Ovis aries: one gene and its partner. The main gene of each other region encodes a partner of the protein of the gene in region 2 in a complex. Links are inferred from orthologs where the notes say so. Each region holds a gene or a part of one and is shown on either strand. Other genes may lie near its edges.

Evidence for each region.
Region 1: TOX4 (region 2) and WDR82 share a complex: the UniProt entries of both Homo sapiens proteins name them as parts of the PNUTS-PP1 phosphatase complex. The link is inferred for Ovis aries from reciprocal best matches to the Homo sapiens genes TOX4 and WDR82.

What each region holds. Positions count from the first base shown.
Region 1 is NC_056072.1:48,701,406-48,705,156, reverse strand, and holds the start of WDR82 (WD repeat-containing protein 82), read right to left. Parts: upstream 2,853-3,751; 5' UTR 2,561-2,852; coding exon 2,400-2,560; intron 1-2,399. UniProt on the Homo sapiens protein: Regulatory component of the SET1/COMPASS complex implicated in the tethering of this complex to transcriptional start sites of active genes.
Region 2 is NC_056060.1:24,025,752-24,028,489, reverse strand, and holds the end of TOX4 (TOX high mobility group box family member 4), read left to right. Parts: intron 1-466; coding exon 467-630; intron 631-1,278; coding exon 1,279-1,339; 3' UTR 1,340-2,195; downstream 2,196-2,738. Other genes in the region: METTL3 (N6-adenosine-methyltransferase catalytic subunit), read right to left, coding at 2,652-2,738. UniProt on the Homo sapiens protein: Transcription factor that modulates cell fate reprogramming from the somatic state to the pluripotent and neuronal fate. In liver, controls the expression of hormone-regulated gluconeogenic genes such as G6PC1 and PCK1.

The sequences.
Region 1 (3,751 bases), on a different chromosome or scaffold from region 2:
TACATGTCTTGTGGTGCACCTCCCTCTCCCCAAAATCACTCAGTGGATGAACTCCATTATAAAGAAAGTGTCAATGAACAGTAAACAGAGAAAATATTAAGCACAAAGAATTTTGTTTTAGCTATTTTCAAACTCCCAACATTAGTACCATCTAATACAGATACTGCTTTCCAAGGAAATCTTACTTTTCTTCCAATGTTGGTTTGACCTACACTAGTGGCAAATTTTTTTCTTCATGTTATCACTTAGGATCATGGACTCCTTGAGGCTAGAGAAGAGATCTGACCAATGTCACATACCGAGTCACAAAGCCAAACTAGAACCCAGTCTATCAGATCACTCTCTTATCACAGATCACGGTGAAACAAGGTCACAATTCACATGAGAATCTTTTAAAGAATGTGCTATATACTACTGTGTCAATATTACATCTCTAATTTGGATAACTGTAATCTGGTTACATAAGAAAAAGTCCTTGTGCTTAGGATATCCATGTTGAAGTGTTTAGGATAAAGGGGCTTGATACCTCTATATTACTATCTAATGGTTCAGGGAAAAAAATGCATATATATATATATATACACACACACACCTGTATATACATACACACACACACATATATATACATATACATATGTAAATATAAACATTTACATAGAAATGACAAAACAGAGCAAAACATAACTAATTATTGGATCCTGGGAGTTCTTGTAAACAATGGTGTAACTTTTCTGCCAAGTTTGTAATTATGTAAAAATGCTACATGAATGAATGAACTGAATTATGTCATAAAATTAATATTTTACTTATAACAAGAAGGACTTCCAGTTAATGTCATTTCTACTAAGGGGTGGAAATTATGCCATATTTGGAGACAAACTTTGAAGAAATGCTTCCATGATTTTCATTTTCTTTGAATGAAGATACACACCTCCATCCTCAAGTTCCAGGAAGAGGTTCTAATCTGTGCACAAGCACTAAGCATTTCAAGCAAATCAGCTTAAAAATTTCTTCCAGCTCCAGGACCCCACAACCTCTATCTCCACCCTAGCTTTATACATGACTCTAATCCACGTTAATGCAAGTGGCCAGACTTGGACAGAAATGAATAACATTGACTCACATCACCACTCAGCATTGGTCCAGCTAACAATTCTCTTCCCCCAGGACCACCACTATAGGCCACTCTTCCACATACTGCAGGCAGATCCAAAGCCAGTTACATAATACTTTTTCACAGTCCAAACAGGAAAAAATTGGGGAGAACAATAGAGTTCAGACCATTACCTCAAATGACCAAATTCAGAAATGAAGAGACAAGTTCTGAAAGAAAGTTTATAGAAGACATCAGTTTAAACAAAACGGACAAAAGGAACAGCTGGAGAAGGTAAAGAAAAATCCAAGGATTCAAAAAGGAGCTCACAATTTAGCAGGGACATGAAGAAAGCAAGTCTGGGGCAGAGCTGAGGAAAAAGGGATAAAAGGGGGGAACTGGCAAAATGCTGTGCTTTTAAGATTCTGCAGAGATACAGATGTGTTGGGTCTCCAGAGGACTTGGGACAACCTAGAAATGTCATGATCAGACTTAGAACTGTGGTTAAGTCCTAATCGACTGTAAGGTGTAATTTTAAAAAACAAGCCTAAGAAGAAACACGAAATTGTTACATGATATTTTCTTTGTTCTATTAGGAGGTTCACATTCAGGTCGGGATGGGACGGCCAGGTTCGTCCGTGTCTGGCAAAAAGGAAAAGTTTCAGATGCTGTTAAAAAGTTAACTATAAACGTAGGAACCGGGACTGAGGGAGGAAGAGAATGATTTGCAACAGAAAGGAAAAGACAAGGGGCCCAAAGAGGCACAACAAATCAATCCTGACAGGTAACAACTGCAACCCACGCGGCCTTCCGGCAAAAACACGGCGGGAAGCTGAGGGGCAGGGGACCGGCGATGGGCCAGGACTGAATCGAGGTCACCGAGCAGAGGGCAGAGGGAGCTGCCTCTGCTGAATGAGGCAGCCGAGCAGCCTCCGCGGTTCTGCAAGGGGGCCACAGCCGACGGGCACCGAGGACGAAGCCCGCCTAACGGAAAAGCTACCAGCTGGGGCCGCGGTGGGCGGACCCGGCGTTTAAAGGTCAAGGTCAAGGTGGGGTTTGGCCAGAGATGCAAAAACGGTCTAAAAGGAGACCGAAGGAAGACAAGACTATTGTTATCGCCATCGTTATTAAGAAAAAAACGGTCTCCCAGACGGCTTCGGAGGGGACGCGGCCCTGGCAGGACCGTGTGCAAAACAGGCCGCGGGGCCGGGCCCGGGCAGAGAGCGGGCCGCGGGGCGAGCGCAGGGCCACGACGCGGAGGGCGGGCGGGACTCAGACCCGGGCCCAAGGCCACCGCCGCACTCACTTGCCCTCCTGGCAGTCATAGAGCACGATGGAGTCGTCGTCGCTGCTGGAGATGACCGTCTCGCCGTTGGGGCTGAAGTCGAAGCAGTTGATCTTGTCAGAGTTTTCGCGGAACACCTTGGCGACGCGGAAGCTTCGCAGCACGCTGTCGGTCAGCTTCATGGCGGCGGCTGCCTGAGGCGGCGGCGGCGGCGGCGCAGGGCCAGGGCGGGGCCCGGGGAACGGGCGGGCTGCCGAGGGGCCGACCGGGGCGGGGCGGGCGCCGCGCCGGCGGCGGGCGGGAGAGCGGCCGGCAGTCGGGACGCCTCCTCCTCTTTCTCCTCCTGCTTAAGCAACACTCTTCTGCCCGGACTGTGGGGCCTTGCCGACCGTTCAGCCTCACGGTCGCCTCAGGGCCAACCGGCGCGACGCCGGCTCATTGTGTCCGCCATCTTGGGACGACAGGCAGAAGCCCAGGGCGAGGAACCTCACCGCGGAGCCAGCCGGGAAAAGGGGCGGGGCGGTAACGGCGGCGCGAGGCGAGGAGGCGGGGCGGTGACGTCAGCGCTGCCGGCAGGGAGTGGCGTGGCTGGGTGGCCCCAAGAGGCAATTCCCAGACCTGCTGCGGGGGCGGGAGGGGAAGGGACTCCCACGTCCTTACCCCTTGGATTCCAAGGCCCCGCGTGACCCGGAGCCTCAGGCCTGTGTGCGGGCTCGCCACCGCTAAGAGACTCAGGCGCCCCCTGCAGGAACCCCGGCCGCAGGCCCAGGGACAGCAGGTACTGCGGAGGTGGGCTACGCCCCAGGAGGCCTGTTCTGGGTGTGAGTCAACGCTGGTGGCTTTTGACCGTTGGTCCGCAACAGACAGAGCCAGATTTCAATTTCTGTATTTTTTTTATTAAGGTGTACTATACGTTAGATGGAGAAGGCAGTGGCACCCCGCTCCAGTACTCTTGCCTGGAAAATCCCATGGATGGAGGAACCTGGTAGGCTGCAGTCCATGCCAAGGGTCGGACACGACTGAGCGACTTCCCTTTGAGTTTTCACTTTCATGCACTGAAGAAGGAAATGGCAACCCACTCCAGTGTTCTGCCTGGAGAATCCCAGGGACGGGGGAGCCTGGTGGGCTGCCGTCTATGAGGTCGCACAGAGTCAGACACGACTGAAGTGACTTAGCAGCAGCCTACATTAGATTGCATAAATTTTAAGTGGATGAATTTTCTTTTCATTTGGTTGTACCTTCTTGTGACTACCACCCACAACTTTTCTTTAAGCCTTCTTTGAAAGCGTTGTAGGGCTTCCCTGGTGGCTCAGTAGTAAAGAATCTGTCTACTAGTGCAGGAGACACAGGTTCGATCCCTAGTTTGGGAGGAT
Region 2 (2,738 bases):
TACAATACTGTGTTGGTTTCTGCCATACATCAACATGAGAAACAATTATTTTGGGGGGGGGGGGGGAACCCACCCTGCAAAATCAGGAACTATGGATCTTGAAAGTTTATCTTCTCTTAGTCCCTCTGATCTTAGTGACCCAACCTCTATTCACATTCTACTTTTGAATTGATATTTTCAGAGGAATATTATTTAAGTGTAGAATAAAGTTAGTGATAGGTTAAGATTAAACACTACCATTATGACCAGCATTCCCCTGATGGGAAGCATCATGTCAGTCTGGATGACAAAATTCTAAAGCTGGATTTGGAGTGAGATCAAGAATTCACGTTTCTTTGGAACTTTACCCCTACCTGTGAGGGACTGTAACATGTGTTGCTCCACTGGATCACAGAGTTAATTTGACTAGCTGGCTGGCTGGCTAGGTAGAAATCTAGTCCATCTTGATGCTCTCTTCCTCTCATAGGTTGAGTCTCCTTCTCAAATGGATGTTGAATTGGTGACTGGGTCTCCCGTGACACTTTCACCCCAGCCTCGATGTGTGAGGTCTGGCTGTGAAAACCCTCCCGTTGTGAGTAAGGACTGGGACAATGAGTACTGCAGCAATGAGTGCGTGGTGAAGCACTGCAGGTGAGCTTACAGTTCCCTTCTTATAATTAATGTATGGCTAAATTAACTCTTGGAATAACATGGTATCTGAGCATATAATCAGTATCACCTTACCTTAGGTAGAATAGGTTGCTATGTATGTCTGATTACAGAAGCTACTAGAAAAGTTTCCCTCCTTAAAAAGAGCTTACATTTGCCATATAGACAAAGATGACATAATTAGCAGTTCACACTTTTCAGTTACCATGTTAGCTCTACGTGTTCATTTTGAAACTATGACACATCAAGCTGTTGGTGTCTATGAATATCAGTATAGTTTATCTCCTTAGTGCAAACCAGACCACTTAGGTAATGAATTAGAATTTGAGGATGGATAGGTGGTTAAGTAGCACAATAAAATGCTAAGTATAGGGCAAAGGGAAGAAGTTCTGAAGATTCTGCCCATTTCCCCAGTTTTCCTGAGATTGACCTACATTCATGAAATAAGGCATTGGTATTTCCTATCTGAAATCCTTTAAATTAGGACTGCCTATACTTCTGACTTCTAGGCCTACTGCCCTTATATTCCTATTTAGGTGATATCTATCAACCTATTTGTTTAAGACTGAGTTTTAAAAAAACATACCTAGGCTGTAATTCTAAGTTTGTGTGTATCTTTTTCTTTCTTAGGGATGTCTTCTTGGCCTGGGTAGCCTCTAGAAACTCAAACACAGTGGTGTTTGTGAAATAGTACATCTGTTCTCCAAGCCAGTGAAGACTTACTGATGGGAACATGTCCACCGAGCCTATTTTAAAAAGACAAGCGAGGCTTCTGGTAGTGCCTGATCTCAACCCATGATGATCCTTTATGTCTTTCACCTTTCTCCCCTTCTGTCGCTCTTCTACAGAGCTATGGAGCAGGGCCACTGGGTTTGCTGCAATCTGGAATTGCTTTTTACTTTCAAGTACAAGCAGATATATCAGTGATAATAACAGGAAAGGGTGAAGGGAATATAAACAAGTAGAACATAGGGGTGATGGATGGGTGGGGGATTGTTTGAGGAAACTTGTTGGTATAATTGTCGTAGGATTTACCTAAAAGATTATTAAAATGATAGAGTACTCAGCTTTGAGTCTAGGAAAAAAACATCACTGTGTGCATCCCTTCTAAAGGGGCTAAAAGGTTGCATTAAAGGTTACCTCTTAGAGAACTATTACTGTCACATCTGTACATTCATTATTAGTTTGAGAACAAAGGTTTTCAACACAGTAATAATAAGCACACTGGACTGTAGAGAAAATAACATCACCTAGGAGCTTCTTATTTCTCTGCCATTATATTTCTGTACTCAACTTTCTGATTGTATCACAGTTTGAGTGTAAAAGGGAGAACTCGACATCCTTAATATAAGAGGTTTCACCTAAGAGGTTTCACCAAAGTTTAAAGAAAGTGTGTTCACTTGTGTTTGATGAAATATCTTTTAAAAAAATAGGCCGAAGTGTTCTCACTTATACAGGCTAATTCTCTGCATACCCTAGGCACTTATTTAATGTAAGATGTGCTTATTTCATTTTTCTTGGAATTAAATGAATGAAAAACTAACAAAGCCACAGTTGTAACAGAATAAGCAACTATTTAAAACGTGACAGCTCTAGTGATGATAATCTTAAGTGATACTCAGATCTTACCTTGAGAAATGTCCCAGAGAACCCTTTCTTATCATGTTTATAATACTTAACTGCTGATCAAATCAACATTTTAATGCTTTCCACACATTCATTTAGTTTGAAGCTTTATAGCAACCCAATAAGGCAGGTAACATTTCCCAGTTACCTAACATTCCCAGTTACGTTCCCAGTTTACATTTATAAGCAATCATACTAAGTTGAGTTACACAAGATCACACACTCTTAAGTGGCAGAGCCAGAACTTGACCTCGAAATCCCAACTACAATACAAACTTTTATTTAAATAAGGGGGGAAAAAAGCTATTGTACAAACATTACTCTTCAGGTACAGCCTGTAGAGCCATGGCTATGGATGCTTAGGTTCAGAAGTACTTCTATAGATTCTTAGGTTTAGAGATGATACCATCTGGATATCTTTGCTTGAACCGGGCAACCACATCTGGGTCTAGTAGGTGGATCCC